Drosophila melanogaster: one gene and its partners. The protein of the gene in region 2 interacts with the protein of the main gene of each other region in a pairwise test. Each region holds a gene or a part of one and is shown on either strand. Other genes may lie near its edges.

The links.
Region 1: the proteins of Spn31A (region 2) and NimB4 interact in a two-hybrid assay, tested with the Drosophila melanogaster proteins (one large-scale study listed by BioGRID).
Region 3: the proteins of Spn31A (region 2) and Cpr64Ad interact in a two-hybrid assay, tested with the Drosophila melanogaster proteins (one large-scale study listed by BioGRID).

The regions. Positions count from the first base shown.
Region 1 is NT_033779.5:13,966,963-13,972,420, forward strand, and holds NimB4 (nimrod B4), read right to left. Parts: upstream 3,015-5,458; 5' UTR 2,947-3,014; coding exon 2,657-2,946; intron 2,499-2,656; coding exon 1,935-2,498; intron 1,874-1,934; coding exon 1,381-1,873; 3' UTR 1,318-1,380; downstream 1-1,317. Other genes in the region: NimB3 (nimrod B3), read right to left, coding at 525-732, 789-949; NimB5 (nimrod B5), read left to right, coding at 3,597-3,904, 4,177-4,719, 4,779-4,875; He (hemese), read right to left, coding at 5,278-5,458.
Region 2 is NT_033779.5:10,058,065-10,065,002, reverse strand, and holds Spn31A (serpin 31A), read right to left. Parts: upstream 4,188-6,938; 5' UTR 4,004-4,187; intron 2,439-4,003; 5' UTR 2,432-2,438; coding exon 1,562-2,431; intron 1,503-1,561; coding exon 1,349-1,502; intron 1,291-1,348; coding exon 1,166-1,290; 3' UTR 1,078-1,165; downstream 1-1,077. Other genes in the region: CG44153 (uncharacterized protein), read left to right, coding at 1-205; Pen (pendulin), read right to left, coding at 5,536-6,156, 6,234-6,804, 6,869-6,938.
Region 3 is NT_037436.4:4,212,953-4,217,718, reverse strand, and holds Cpr64Ad (cuticular protein 64Ad), read right to left. Parts: upstream 2,341-4,766; 5' UTR 2,270-2,340; coding exon 2,255-2,269; intron 2,180-2,254; coding exon 1,451-2,179; 3' UTR 1,305-1,450; downstream 1-1,304. Other genes in the region: CG43367 (uncharacterized protein), read right to left, coding at 1-62, 125-249, 314-482, 541-928, 992-1,135.

The DNA of each region.
Region 1 (5,458 bases), 3.9 Mb from region 2:
ATTGATTATGCGCCCACGTCCACGTCCGCTGGCGACTGTAGTTGCACATCGACTAATCGGCTCCCGATGCGAAGCTCCGGATCTCTGAGCCGCCATTCGCCTCCGGCAACCTCTTGTCCCCCTTCTAATCAGCACCTCGCCAATGTACCCATCAATGTGGCAAACGGAGCGAAGGTTTGCTCTCAGTAGCTTCGGGCAAAGCAAATCGATCATTGCCATAAATTGTGAGTCGTAAACAAAACTCATTGCTTTTGGGTAATTCCAAGAAAAGTTTGCGTACAACGATGACTTCAGGTATAGAGATTATTTCTTGATGAAATATCAGATTTAAAGGCACAGAACATAAAAATGATGAACCTTTAAAACTTATGAAGGTTTTTTCAAAAAAAAAATTTAACGTTTCTATGTAATCATGAATGGTCGTAAAAAACAGGTTAATAATATTTCAAATAGTAGAAGTATTGATCAAATAATGATAAAGTAAGCAACTCAAAAAATATTGTAATTGATATTATTTATTTTTGTTATTCCAAGACAAAACGACACCTTTTGTTACTCCGATAGTAACCCGGAGCACACTCGCACTCCTCGGGCGCCAGGCACAATCCATTGGAGCAGTCCTCCGAGCAAATGGGCTCGCACTTCAGGTTCTGGCTTGTTCCCTTATTCACATAACCATCGCAGCAGTAGGAGAACTGACGATTTCTGGAGTTGGGATTGATGGTTTCCACGCTGGGAGTGGGAATTGATCTTGAAATTCGGTCAGGCGTGCGGAATGGTTTACCTACGTGAGCGTCCTGTAACAGATGCCGGATCCCCTCTCGGCCAGAGCCTCTTTTCGCCACTGCGTAACAGGATCCACCGACCAGAATTGTGCGGCAGTGCGCGTGGGCAGCTCGATCCCCAGACCGCAGATAAGGAGTCCAATCAGCGTGGATGTCAAGTGCATTTCGCTCGGATTCAGCTGAAGGCGAGGTCGTATCAAAATGCGAGCGCAATGCTCGCCAGTGTCTCGGAGCTACTAAATTGTCGTCTGTGTCAAGCGCGGCATTTAAGTGTACGGAGATAGAAATGTTCTATATTCCTAGGAAGATAATTATGTGTTCAGTACCCGGTATTCGTGGGGTATGTTGACTATGCAGAAAATAAGTGATATACCAAATAATAAATACCTATTCAAATGAAACAACTTTCGAGAGGGTACCAAATCTTCGACGTACGTTTACAATTTAAGCTAGACTTGCTTCAAAAAAGCGAAATCCCAAGAGATGAAGCCACAAGATATTTCAGACACCCCTGATAAGAACACAACGTCTTGGGAAATGCATGAATATTTATTAGAGACTGCTCAGTGATGCTGGAAAAGTGAGAGCTCCGAACTCACAACCACCACATATCGCTGAGTGTGGTCAAGTTGAAGTGCCTGCCCAGCAGAAGATTGAATTCCTGGATGAGCGATGCGTTCACCTTGACGGGATTCATAGAGGCGTATGTGGTGACCGTGTCCGGCGACATGCAGCGATCGATGAATCGCGTCATGCCCACCTGGCAGCGGCATCTTCCCATGGCGTTGCACAATCCGTACTCGCAACGCTGGTAGGTGCGTTCCGGACCCGGGACTATGGCGCATCCGCACACATTCGGTGCGATGCATTTGCCGTAAAAACCACATCCACCCACGCAGACCGCCTCGCATCGCTCCCGATTCCGGACGTAGCCCTTGAAGCAGCGGCAGTTGCCCGGCGAGATGCACACCCCATTATCGCAGTTGTCCCCGCAATCCGGCAGACAGGTCGTCGTATTCTTATCGTATCGATATCCGTTCTGACACACGCACGTCGTTTTGTTTGCACAGAAGCCATTCTCGCAGGTCCTGAAAGAAATTTATTAAATTATTAAATGTAAAAGGAGAGGCGTCTAGTTCTAACACTCACATATAGCAATCGCCTTCGCAGGTGATGCCGTTCTTGCGTTTTTGGAATCCGGGGAAGCACTCGCATTCGTTGGGCCGCACGCAGTGACCGTATCCGCAGTCCGGAATACAAATCGGTTGGCATCCCAGGGCGGCGGACTCCCTCAGTCCTCGGGTATATCCCTCGGCGCAGGAGCACTTGCCCGGCTCCAAGCAGACCTCGTTGTGGCCACAGGTGGCGTTGCACTGCGGCTGGCAGAATTTGCGCGATCCGTCCAGCTCGTATCCCTTATCGCACTGGCAGGTGCCGTTCAAGTAACAGCGACCATGCGGACAGCCCAACGGACAGGTGGGCACACAATTGTTGCGGTAGTTGAGCACAAAGTCCGTGAAGCACACGCATTTGCCGCCCGCCACACAGAAGCCGTTCTCCTGGCACCGCTCACCGCAATCCGGAACGCACTGGCTCCAGTCATATTCATAGCGGCGCCAGCCCTTGCAACAAACCTCGATCACGTTCATGTAGGGATTGGTGGAGCTGTTGCCCACAATCTTCACCTCCTTGTCGTACTGAAAGAACACGGCCCTGGAGATTGGATTGGTGTATACAATGCATGTGTGCTTTTGAGATATATCAGTAAAATTAAAAGTTATAAACCATACGAGAACTTGTGCTGGTTATGGGCAAGGTCTAAAAGAGCCCAAGGATTTAATGGGCTTAGATTGTCACCGGCACACACTTACGGCACTTCCTGTCGGCACTTGTCCGGATGTTCCCCTCTCCGGGGCAGCGACAAACCGTTGGGTATTATATAGGGTTTCCGTGTGGTGGTCGAGGACGAGAGGCGTCGCTGTAGAGCCTCGTGCTCACGCAGCAGTTCCCGCTGGCGTTGCTCCGCGCGCAGGCGCAGCTGCTCGTCCTTTTGCTGCTGCAGCTGTTGCTCGTGAAGTTGCAGCTCCAGGCCGTGCAGCACGCAGAGGAACAGGACCAGGAGCACCGAGTGGAGGCACAGAGATCGCAGTATTGTTGACATCTCAGTGCTGGGCGCGGATTCCTTTGTGGCGCGCTACCGAAACGCTCAAGTCGCTATTGTTTACTGCTCCGGAGACGACGCAGTTGGGCCAGCCTCTAATCACAGCCGGAGGCAATGATAAGAGGGCTTCAGCGCTTAATTCGGATCTGGAGGGGGAGATCCAGGGCTCGCAATGCCAATGTATGTCAAGTAAGAACGAGCTAAAGATCGTCTTAAGTTTTATGTTCTTTCATTACGAATTGTAATTTCCCGGATAAATAGTGATGGGATGCAAATAAAATATTTCAGTAACCAAAAGTATCTTTTGGGTATGTAAATTAGCATATTCAAATATATTTTATTTTATTTTATTTATATTTAAATATGCTTTGGGCTCGTTCAAAATAAAATTAGAAAAAATATTTTAGAAAATTATCCAACTGAGGTATAAACAAGTCGCAACACTTAAAAATTTCGACTTACATGTATTCATAATAATAAACTCTCATAAACAAACTGAACCAAATTCCTCTCATCTTAGCCTATGCATCGAATATAGCTGCTTTTCTGATAAGACAAAAAAAATTAATTCTGTTTCAGTGGCGAAAATTAGTACAATTCTAGCTGGCAAATTGTGAACACCTAGAAACTTGAAATAAGGAGTGCTCAAGATGTGGTTGCGAGACTTGCGCATTCGTCTAAGTTTTTTCCACCTGATGGTGTGTCTGCCCAGTATTTACACAAATGTGCCAAGCTATTCGGATCGGTACAACAGAAGGCCTGTGTCCCAGGATCCAGGAATGGGAACCTATGGCCGCGGGTACATGGAAAACCGGCAGTTGTCCTATAATCGACCTGGACCAGCCAACTTCCAAGATCCCAGAAATGTGGAGTTGCAGCCGAAACGACGAGAGTATCTCATTCGATCACATGAAACGCAATCCGATAGGGGGCAACACAAATGCCGCATTTGGGTGCCGTAAGTATGTCAGATACACAGAAAACAACGTTGAAGTATATATACATTAACAAAATTTTTTTATTTTAACAATGTATATATATATATGTATGTTTTGATAATCAGAAATATATATATAAACTTTCTACTGTGAACATAATATCGCAAGCCTTATCTGTACTCCCAGAATTTGTAAAACTTTTAGTTGCCAAAATTCATAAGCATAGACTGAGAATTGGAAGCAATGTGGTGAACTTAGTTATAATATTTTTTGTTTTCCAACATTCGAGCAGCCCCGATACGGTGGAAAAGTACTCGTACCCCAGTGTCATCCAGACGGACCAGGCCAACCGGCTGTCCCTGATCGAGGTCTGCTGCACCGGATACTCGGCCAGTCGTCTGATGGGCGTAACCGTGTGCCGGGCGCAATGTGGCTGCCAGAACGGAAGCTGTAAGATTCCTGGTGAGTGCGAGTGCTATGATGGCTTTGTGCGTAACGACAACGGTGACTGTGTGTTTGCCTGCCCGCTGGGCTGCCAAAATGGTCAGTGCTATCTGGACGGCAGCTGTCAGTGTGATCCGGGCTACAAGCTGGACGAGACGCGACGCTTCTGCCGCCCGATCTGCAGCAGTGGCTGTGGCAGCAGTCCGCGGCACAACTGCACCGAACCGGAGATCTGTGGCTGCTCCAAGGGCTATCAGCTGACCGACGACGGATGCCAGCCCGTCTGCGAACCGGACTGTGGAATCGGCGGACTCTGCAAGGACAACAACCAGTGCGACTGCGCTCCTGGTTACAATCTGAGGGATGGTGTCTGCCAGGCCGATTGCTATCAGTAAGCTGAAAACTTCATGCTGGGAATACCAGACTAATGGCAATCTTTATTCGGTGCAGGAAGTGCAACAATGGCGTGTGTGTCAGCCGAAACCGATGTCTATGCGATCCGGGATATACCTACCATGAGCAATCAACCATGTGCGTTCCAGTATAGACATTATTACTAAAGAATTGATTTTTATTTCGAAATCCCTTGGGCTTGATCGGTATAAAACCAAAACAGAGATTGTGTTTATCCAAAAGCTGCAGTCATTATCTTAAAAAATAAATTTAAATGGCTAGATAATATCGCATTCAAAACATGTCGAATAGCTGAGATTACTTACTTCCGTATCGCTTAAATATAACAAATGTTTTTGTTTTGAAATTCTTCTTATCCGGCACAAGTAGAAATAAAATATTTGAAGCGCTTGTCGGAAATAAATGAGTCATGTTTATTTCAAATATTTTAAGATTCGTGCCAAAAATTATTTTAATACTTAGTGGATGCAAATTTGTTTTTAAGAAAGTTATTATTTAAATCCTTGTTTTTAGATAATATTATTTAAATATGATTTTAATATTTAATATTATTAAAATATGCGGTACTTTCAATGGGCTTGCATTGCTCTTTCACAGAATATGAACCATAATGGCGTCGAATGCAGTATATTAGAGCAACTAAAATAGCCAAGGTAATTACAATGCCATACACACTGATAAGTAAAGTGTTGCTGTTTTCTGGTTTTGAAATCTCA
Region 2 (6,938 bases):
CACATCGACTGTCACCAGCACGGCGACTACGACGCCAGCCACGCCCACACCCACGCAAAGCGGCTGCAGTGGGGGCAATGATGCAACGCTGGATCGGATCACGCTCGATCTGGACTACTTGCTGAACAGGGGCGCTGCGGATGCCGGCGAAGCAGGCGGCGTTGCCCCACCGCCCACCAGTGATGATGGACAGCAGAAACAATAGCAATATCCGTGAGTTGGATGGCATTTGTAGGCCAAATGCCCACACTAAGATGCATTTAAGAGGCTTCGTTTTTCTATCAACAGATGTACATATGTGTAAATCAAATTTCGAAACTAAACTACAGTAAAAAACAAATCTCTGTGAATATTCTATCTAAGTATGCATCGGATATAGATACCAAATATGGATAACAATCAGTTTAGCAGCTCCTGGTTTTACCAATTTTTTATCAAATAAGACCATCCAATTTTCAGTTCTATCAATTCATGAAATGTTCAAAGTTACTGTCCTTCAAAGTGATTTAGGCATCAATCAACCTAGACTCATATTTAGAACACAATTTAAAGTTTACATCATATGGCATATGTAAAACGAATTGAATGAATTTAAACTTAGGATAACTTTTTAGCTAGATTTACAAAAAGCCTATTGTGGAGAATACAATGAGAACGAAATTGAAAAAAAAAAAAACAAATTAATGAGCGAGAACATGTTTTTGATTCCATTTAAAGTTTCCTAGAATTAAAGCCAAAATTAAGCCCTATTAAGAAGCAGAGATTAAATACAAAATACAATAATTGTAAAACTAATAAACATAACAGGACTATTTCTGGAACAAAACAAATTATACAGATATATCTTTAAATAAACTCGAGACTCTTGTTAGAAAATCTATTAAAAGTGTGTGTTTGAATTTGGAAAAAAAATATGATATTAAATGACTAAAAATTACTGACAAGCCGGAAATGCAAGGTAAGATTGTGGTTAGATTTTTATAATAATTTTCATAGAAATTTTAAACCATTTTCATTTTGCAACAAATACAAAAAATCGATCATATATTCCGAAGCATTCATACATCGATATTACTTGTTTAGTAAATATTAGTTTTATTTTACTTAGTTTTATAGAAGTTAACATATTGCACTACCCTTCCGTGTATCTAAATTTTAAGAATTTTTAAAATTCCACCACGTGACCCATCAGATAGGTCACATTCTCACTGCGAATGGCGAAGAAGAATGGATGGTCAGCTCGGAAGAATTTCTGGCGGGAGGAATTGCTGATCACAATGGGCTTATATTCTGGAATGTTTATGGATAAGGTATATTTATCACCAGGAACTACAAAGAAATTAAATACCTGTGGCATTCTTTGGTAACTCGGGTCCGGATCCGGATCCAGACTCATTCAGATTTATGCGCAGCTTTTGAAGAACATCGGCAATGGGCAGATTCGCCGATGCATGCAGATGTTTGAAGTTCGCCGATGCAGCAAATATCTCCTCAAAGCCGAGCTATATAAGATAACATATTCGAAATTGGGAAAGAGGATACATTTATTGATTTTACGAACCTGTTTCAACGGCTGCCGCAGACTGCACTCGAAATCGATACTGAATTTGGGCAGCAACACCTGCACGCCCTCCATCTGCATTCGCTGCTGCAGTGCACCCAAATCCAGGTCATGCAGCTGCTTCTCCAGTTCCTGCAGGCCACCACGCTGATTGGGCAGAATGAGCAGCATGGACAGCTCCTCGGCGTGCTCGTAGGGCAGCTCAATGGCACGCGCATCCAGATCCCTCAGCTCAGCGAACTTCACGAACATGTCGTCGTCGAAGAGCATGGGCACCGATTTCACCTGGCTGCCGCTGTGAAACTCATAGAGTCCGGTTCTGTAGGCACTGAAGGGCAGGAACCACTTGCTCTGCAGATTGGCGGCCAGCAGCAGGAGCAGGGTATTGGCTGACGAACCACCTGCCACGTGAATATCCTTCCAGCTGCCGCCTCCAACGCTGGCCAGGATCTGTTCGCTGATGTGGCGACGCAGTTTCTCCGTTTGCTCCAGATCAACACACTCGGCAGTGGCATGGAAATAGGTTTGTGCAATCTTCTGGAAATCATCGGCCACTCCAGATTCAGATGACAGCATCAAACGATTCTGCAGCTGCAGGAAGGTATCTGCATCTGTTGTGATATTGCCCAGTTCCGCGGCATAGAAATTGGCCATTTTGGCATTGCTGGCAAAACGTTGCTTCAGTCGCAGTTGTTTCTGCAGCTCCTCGGCGGTGGCTCCATCCGATCCCAGGAAGAGCAGGGACAGAGTGGCTTCCAGTAGTAGTGGTGATACAACTACATTTTGTTCTGCAAAACTCGTTGCTATGCTGTGGTAAATACCAGCACCTATGTGGCAATCATAGGGCGTTGGATTGGCAGCTTCACTCATTGTGTTGCTTCAAAAAAATCCAAGAAAATTCAAGTTTTGAAATCTTTGTATGCAAAATGAAATCGTAATCTTCGTAAAGCTACAAAAAACATACACAGATATATTGCATGATAAATTACTTAGCTTTCAACTTTGGAAGGGGTATTATCTTGCCCACTTTTTCCAGGAATCTAATGAAATCTGAATCTCTTGAGAAGCCTTGGGCAGTGTTTTCGTATGCAGATGAAGTCTTATTAATATTATAAAGGCGTGAATTTATCGCTTCCACATGGTTGATTCTATCAAAAGTAATTGTTTAGCATAAATGCGCCCTACGGCATAATGCAAAACACATGTGCCATGTATATACATACATATGTAGATATACATTTGTAAGTAAACTTGGCCAAATTTATTAGGGCCATGAGATGCTTTAAATAAAATGAAAATATAATGCGGCCCAGCCGCAAGTAGATACTACATTGAATCCCATTTAAATTCACCTTGGCTCTTGAAGTGCACACTGTAATGAAAATGTAAATTGTCTACCATTTCATTTGGCGAATACAAAAGAAGCGCCTTGAACAAATAAAGTCAACTGAACACACTAGGCCAAACTTGACACTATTTTCGGCAAGTAAACAAAGCGGAAACGCCGAGGCGGAAAACTTTGTGACAGTGCTGTGGCTATATATTTGCGGCAACTTTTAATTTCACGCGAATTTCGGCAGCCGCCGCCGTTCTATGGCAAACAAACCCAATCCCACCGCCTACCACGCCCACGCCCACGCCCACTTCAATGCCCACTCGCTATATATGTACTATATAGTTTGTCGATTCGAAGCTGCAGCTCTGCACGCCGATTTCTACGCGACGCGCACACTTGCGCGCTTAATTGCCACATCAACAAACAAAATACGCGCCCACCCACCCCAATCGGAAAATAAAAACGGACCGAAACGGAAAAAAAGACCGTTTTCCGCTTCAAAATCGCGAGAGCCACGCTGCCCACACTGCAAGAAAAATCTATCAGAAAATCATGTCACTCATACTCTTTCAGTTTTCACAATTTTATCACATGAACAACTTTAAAATGCATTTTGAATAGATTTAGTATAGGTAATATACTATTCTATCAATTCACAGCAAAATTAAATGTTTTCCCAATGATTAAAATTAAACATTTTATAATGAGTACAAATTTCTTGCTGTGTACGCTATGTAGTAGTCGCTATAAAGTAGCGCTGTTCTAGTGCTAGATGTTTATTGTTTATTTTTGGTGTGCCAATTTTTTGTTTTATTCAACGAAATTAACTGCATCATGAGTTTGTCAAAAGTGCTTTCGATTTTTTTCACACTTTTTTTCTTGTATTTTGTAAACGTTTAAATGCACCAAGTGGCATATGGTGTATCCCCAACTGGATTCTCAGTGAGGCATATGAGATCAGAAAATTGTTTTCGAAGTGGCATCATCAACAACAATAGTTGTGAAAATTTCGACACACATTCAGTGAAAATGCGAATTGATTTACACACAAGGCAATTTACGAAACTACCGATTGGTTTCACATCACTTGCACTATTCTCTATTACCTTTTTTAAAAATCGTTAGAAATTTTTAAGTTTCAAATGCGTAATGTCAGTTCAGATCGTTTTGCAATTATATAAATTAGTTGCCCTTAGAGATTCACGCCCGCACGCAGCTTCGGCAGAAAGTCGACTAAACGCTTGCGCTCGGAAATAATAAAATAGCTCGAGAAAGAACCAATTGAATACATAGATCCGATCCATCGGTGACGACAATTTGGGCAACGCGGAGGCAAAAGCTCCGGATGGCGGCCAATGCTTCCACAATTCAGTTCGAATTTTCGGCAACTACTTTGCCCATGCTGAATTTTTAATCTATTTTTATAATTTGTTTTGCCACACACACACACGATTCGCCGAATTCGACGCACTGCATCCGATGGGAACAAGATCGTACGTGGACATGGTTGTTGATGTGACGTCGTCGCTCCACTGATTAAGCTTACCCTCTGGATCACTGCAATAACCACGAACGCTGCGATTCATCTTGATTGAGTTGTGCGTGGTGCGCGTTCTGTGCCAGTAGTAGACTACTACTCACTACTCACTCGTCGGTTGTTTAATCATTATATCTAATCTGGAACTTTTTTGGGGTCGCTGTCCACCGCTGCTCGAGTGGGCGTGGCTGCGGTAGATAGCTCTTAATCTTCCGGCTATCCGCTTACGGCCCAAATGCGATTTAAATGTACAAGACAAAAAAAAAAACATGTATTGACTGCATGACTTTTTATCGCGGATTTACGGACAAAAGGCGCCAGCGCATCGAAGGGATAACATTTTAAATTCGATTGCCTGCATCGGTGTATATCCCAATAGCATTCCAAATAATATACAAAAAAAAATGCCAAGGCCCAAAAATAGGCTCCAATTTTCGCAATGCTCAAATGCAGCTTAAATACACATGAAATTTAATTAATCATTCAAACAATTCATTATTTATTGACAACTTTGAATATAAACATGCGATTCGGGAATGAGGACACTGGTGTGAAGGGAATGAGTTGTTGTTGTTGTTGTTGTTGTTGTAATGCTTGCGCGAAGGTGGAGGATTAAAAGCGTTTCCTGTATACATAAATAAATACTAAACAGCCTAAAATATATCCGAAATGAGCTCGAAACGTATCCAATAAAAAGCCTAGTACACGCAAACATAAGGTGCCCCCTGTACAGACGGATTCTGGAAATACTATGATCCACGGATCCCAGCCAGCGCAGCTGCCCGAGCGGTTGCATCGTGAACGAGGAACACTGCCAGAAAGATCCATGCTGCAATCTGTGAAGTCTAGTCTAACGCGAGGAATACGGGTATGTTAAATGGGGATTCATGCGAGTGGATTTTGCCAACCCGATTCAATTATGACTTTAAGCTAATGCATTCGCCTGTGTTTCCATGCATACCTCCAAAGTGTTTGGGAATGTTTGTAAGATGTGATGATGAGTATGCGTATGTTTGACAATGGCATAGTGTGTGAGCGCGGTCGAAGGTGTAGTTGTTTGTAAGGCGTGTGAGCGGAGTTTGGAATGTGTGGGGTGGGCGATTAGAACGTGTAGCCACCTTCGGGAGCCTTGGGCTGGGTGGCATTGAACTCGAGGGCTCCGTTGACCTCCTGAGGTGCGAGCTCTTGCTCGGCCTCGTCGTCGCCGTTGCTGAAGTATGTGTCAATGATGGCGTAGGCCTTCTTGTAGACCTCCTCGTTCTCGTGCTGCTGCAGAGTTTCCAGCTTGTCTAGACCGCCCATCTCCTCGACCATCAAGCATAGGTTCTCGGTGCCACCAAGTTTCTCCGCCAGGGCAAACAGATTGGATAGGCCCGTCTGCACCACCTTGATGGTACGCGGATCCTTTGTGTCCAGCAAATCGATAAAAGGCTTCAATATTTTGTACTTCTCAATTAGATCGACGATCTGTTCGGGAGTGCCAGATGTCGTGGTGTTTGTCACCGCCCAGGCAGCCTCTTTTTGAGCCTTGAAATCACCCTTCTCCAGCACGGTGCGCAGCTGCTGGAAGATGCCGGCCTGAATCACAGCCTGGATCTGCTTCTGGTTACCTGCTGTGATGTTGCTGACCGTCCAGGCAGCCTCCTTCACAATGTTGCTTTTGTTGTGCTGTAGAAGGAGTCCCAGCCTTGGTAAACCTCCAGATGCAATTACAACGTCAGTCTAATAAAAAAAAAAAAAAAAAACAGGTCGGTCAGGCATGTTATAACAATAAGGATTAAAATCATTTGTTTTCCTACCTGTTGATCTGTGCCAGTCACAATGTTGCCAACGCTGCGCAGGGCGGGCACAATAATGCTCGGCTCGTCCATTTGCAGCAGTTTGACCAGGCGCGGCACTGCGTCCGAGTCGACCACAGCCTGGATCTTGGTGTTATCGTCGTCCGTGACGTAGGACAAAGCCCAGCAGGCGTCGGCCAGCACTTGGATGTCCTGACTAAGCAGAAGCTGCGACAGGACGGGCAACAGCCGCTTCACCTGATCGAATGGCGGCGATGGATTCTTGTTCCGGCACAGGTTGGACATCAGCCAGACGATGTTGCGCAGAAAAGAGAGCGGTGTCTCATTGTTGATCAGTGGCAAGATTCCGTCAATTACGTTGTGGTGGATGACAATGTCGCGGGCGGCGGCTCCGTCGCCGGCAATGTTGCCCAGAGCCCAGACTGCCTGCTCGGCCAGGTTCATGGACTTGGACTGGAGCAGAGCCACGAAATGCGGCACAGCATTGTGTTCGATAACGCAGCGCGTTTGGTCGGATGTGCCAGAGGCGATGTTGGTAAGCGCCCAAGCGGCCTCGAACTGCAGCATTGAGCTGTAGCGGCGAATCAGGGGATATTCAATAATGCTCTCATCAACATTCTAAAGCCACTACTCACTTGTTGGTATTCTGCAGGAAGCGTATGCAAATGGGCACAATACCATGGCCGATCATCAGGTCGATGGGTG
Region 3 (4,766 bases), on a different chromosome or scaffold from region 2:
CCAGAGGGGTCCTCGAATGAATCATATTTGCCGCGCACTTCGGCCTCGTTTTTAGGATTTATCTGCGGTAGAAATGCGTTTGTCATGTAACTGATCACCTTTTTCTATTTTCAGTAATACTTACGCATCCAATGGGTTTGGATAGGTCACGGAACGATTTTGGATCGGTAAGATCCAGCACGTCACTGGTGTAATCAGCAAGGATCCAGGGGAAGACGGGGTATTGGCTTAGATCATTGTAGGATCGACCTAGTTATGTAAAATACGTTAGTTTGATAAAAATGTATGTAATAATCAGATGTTATTTGCTTACCTGCGATTGTGTTTAGGTACATCAAGTATTCAAAGTTGGAAATCTCACGATTGATCCATCTCTGTGTGAGTCCCGAGGCCCTAAGCAGCTCAGCCGGCGATCTTCCCGAGCCGTAGAGTATGTTTGGAAGCGGTAGACCCACGATTTTTGTGAAAACTTTATTTCGAGTCTTAAAGAAATAAGAACATTTGCAATGATCACATTTTATTTACAAAAAAAAAACTCACCTTCGTCGTAAAGTTGAGGAAGTAGCTAGTCTGATCCACCAGGAAGATTTCCAAAGCACTCCTGCGCAGATTGTACTTTCGCAGATGAACCTCACGTATCTTGTTGGTGGAGAACCTGAAATCGTATTTGGAACCATCCTCTGTTGGCGGGCTCAAGTCCACAAAGGTGAACACGCTCTGGTTAACCTCAATGCGTCCCTTCACCTTGGTCATCAGCGTGATCAGCTCACAGTCCTGTGACATGACTAGCTTCTCCAGCGCCACATCCTGTTGCGCTTGCGTGTCGATCAGTTGACGTAGTTCCTCCTCCAGCTGGGAACTTTCGTCATCCGCCAGGAAATCGCGCACCACGGCATTCTTGATGGTGGAGTCAAATTCAGAGATTTCCCTAAGATAAAGGATATTGAAAATCAGATTATGAAGGACACTACTAAGGACTGGCTGGGCTTACTTGGTGTCGTAGGCACTGGTCGCATTGTCGCGCAGATTGGCGGCATTCTCGTGTTTATTTGGATATAACTGAGGCTCCAATTTCAGACGCATCCTGGCCACGTTCTCATGTTGCGAAAGCTTCCAGAACTCTTCATCCACTTCCCTAAAAAGAACACCAAGTTTTAAGTGTAATCCTTAAAATATAAAGAATGATACATATAAATATTACCTATAAATATTAAAGCTAAAATACTTAAATAATTTTCTTAAGCCTCTATATGATATCACTCTCGTAATCCAGGATGCCTTTAAACAATAAACTACAATCTTTTGTTTTCAGAATTTCTTTAATTTTGGGTTTTTGCGATGAAAGTTATTCAATAGCTCGACAATGATTAATCGAATATGTACAGATGAAAGTCCTTTGTCGAATTGCGGTCAATACTTCCTTTACGACTCCTACTTCTCCTCCTTCTACTTAGGCGACGATGGGAGCGGCCAGGGTCTTGGCGAAGACTGGAGCGGGGGCAGCAGCCACAACTGGAGCCACTGGAGCAGCCACGGTCTTGGCCAAAACTGGAGCCACTGGGGCAACAGCCACGGGCACATCCTTCTGCACCACTGCGTTGAAACCGTTGATGGAGTCGGCGTAGTAGCTGACAATACGACGGGAACCATCGGGCTCGATCAGAGAGTAGGATCCACGGACGACATCACCATCACGAGTCTCCTCCTGGGTCTTGGAGTCACCGGTTAGCGTATCCTGGACATCGTAGGCGAACTTGTACTGTGGGTGGGCATCCACGATCTCGGTGGCGATGGGAGCAGCAACTGGAGCAGCCAGGGGAGCAGCAACTGGAGCAGCCAGGGGAGCGGCTACTGGAGCAACTGGGGCAGCGAGAGGAGCGGCGACTGGGGCAGCCAGGCGAGCAGCAACTGGGGCAACTGGAGCAGCGAAGGGAGCGGCGAAAGGAGCGGCAGCGTAGGTCTTGGACACCAGGGGAGCAGGTCCCGCCACCAGAGGGGCGTTGTATCCCAAAGGAGCCGCGTAGCCCAGAGGGGCGGAGTACGCAGCCGGGGCGAAGTATGGAGCAGGTCCCAGAGGGGCGGAGTAAGCCAGAGGAGCACCCAGAGGAGCGGCGGCCAGAGGAGCGCCAACCAGACCAGCCTGAGCCGAGAGGGCCATCGAGGAAAGGACTGCAACAACCTGTGAGGAAAATGCATGGAGTCCAGTTTAGTCTCCTGACCTGACGGGTTCACCGAAGCCATCACCAACACTTACCGTCAGAGGATTCATTGTAAGGCTTGGGTGGGGGTTTAGTGCGATTGTCACCGTCGGTTATCGAAAATGAACTGACATACCTTGGACAAAAAAACCACGACTTTTATACCCAGATGCGTTCGCGAAATTTGCATGCGGTGCTCCGTGGAGGGAACTGCGTACCAATTGCGTATGGTAGCCCATTGTCCGAGCTCCTTGCCCCCCGCATCATCACCATCGCCGCTTTTTGGGGCCGCCTCTTCCTACCCAGCATTTGGCTGCGTCTGCGTCTCGGGCTTTGATCCAAATTCGCAGCACGTACTCCAATTTTCAGTCGTCTTGCGGTGGCTACACCAAGTTTTCATTTTTATTTGCCACTGTTTTTGCCTTGTTCGGATCGAAAGTGAATGCGATTTGATTATATTTCGGAGCAGTAGTTTTCGGTAATTGTCATGCAGGTTCCATCCAATGACAGTGCTTTTAATTTTCCTTTACACCAAAAGCGCGAAACTTATAATTAAGTTACCATAATGACGTCGAGTTGACAAGGGTTCAAGCTCAAAAACTTAATATTAATATATCTCTGGGATAAAAAAGTATCTTTAGAGTGTAATGATCCTGATTTTGATGTACTACTTGAATTGGTTGTCTCAAATAAATTGGAAAGTTTCTTATACACCTTATTGGGTATCAATTACTTATGCTAATGAGTTACCACTTATACATAATAAGGGTTTTCACAAGGGGTTCGGTTTCACTTAACAAGGTGAAACTGGGTCAATGTGGCCCAGTAATATCGATTAGACTAATATATATACTATATACCCATATATTACTATTGTAAATCTATTGAAAGATTATCAACATTTGATACATCAATTATATTGATATTATTCTAATAAATGGCCATGCATTTGGTTTATGTTTCCATAAGGAGATTTTTAGTTCCTCCCCTAAACGACTTTGCTGAAAAGGATAAATCTTATTTTAAATTTAACATGCTTTCCTAACAAATATCTTCAGTAACAACAAGAATCTCTGGTCTTTTGGAATTTGCCTAACTCCATGGTTGATTAAAGATTCCCCATCGATTTCGTGCTGTAACTGGTGGCTGGTTTTGAGTTCGTGACTCTTTTCCTAAATGCAACCAACGACCTTGCGACTCGTTGGCTGCGGATTCACCTCGGAGAGACGCTGAGCGATCCGGAGAAGCGGAGAGAGCCCCAAAAGTTGGCACCAAATGGTGGTATTACTCGTCGGGTTGTGGTAGCTGACTAACGGTTGTCGGCGTAGATTGTCGCCACCGGAAACCAGCATGGATATACAGTCGTCCAATTTGGCCAAAGCGAATGGAATGCTCCACTGCCATTTATGCAGTTCCTTGCCCAATCGCTTGACTCTGCTCTGAGATGAGAATTAATTAAAAGTGGATGAAATACTAACCACAGCCACTTAGCTGCCAATTGTGAGCAAGGTCGCCGCGGTTAGAGCTTCCAAATGCCGGCTAAATGCTTTTTGGCCCGATCGAGGCAATTACGGTGGCTAAGTGACCGGGCTCAGCAATGTGGGCGCTGGTCCAGTTGGTCAGGTGGAAATCGGATCGTCGAGGGGTTAATGCGTGTGCCAGTGCGTAATTGCGCCTGCGTCCCGCCCAATTCCATTCCCTCCACCAAGCCGTCGAAACTTGCCATTTTCGTTTTCTAATTAAACGAGTGGCTGCGAACGATTGATCTTGTTTTTATACCCTGCACTTTGGGTGGGCACATTGGACATGTATGTTACTATGAAGATTACTCGCACGTCACGCAAACCAAGCGAAATTTGCTTGCGTTTGGACAACATGGCGTGTGAGTGATAATCGGCATAACTTAACAGCAGGCATTTCAATTACATATTCAAATATTGATTGAAGTATGTTCGCCAAATGAGTGTTTACATATCCAATTGTAATCTTGGTTTCATACATTTTCAGAAAATTGAGAGTAAATACATATTTTCATTAGGTCTTTGATGATATTAAAGATTTTTCTTGAAAGGGTACCTACAATCGCTAAAAAAGCACTGTCACTGTTCTTGTGGCAACTGCAACTGAAACTGCCACAATATGAGGCACTTATTACATCAGACAAATTTTGGCTGGAGAACCTGAGAATGTGCCAAAAAACGGCGAAAAAATGAAACCAGATCGGCCAGCGAGTCAGCGGAAAACGAGTCTGGTGTTGCTGGTAGCTGACTAGCTGGGTATCTTGGAGCGGCGCTCTTGAACGGACTCAAATGGACTTCGGTGAGTGGTGTGCCTCGGCAGCGGCGGCTGCAGTTATTCCATTGAGAAAAGCCAGCACCAATGATGAAATCCGCACCAGAAACACGAAATCCGCCATCAGCGATGAGGTCTGGGGTGCAAGATCGAGATCGAGATCGGGCAGCCACCAAATGAGACGCAATTGTCACTCTGCCCATTAGATTGTCCAGTTTTTTTTTCCGCTGGCAGCTGCCGCCAGTTTCGAATATAAAACTGAAGACCACGCGGAAA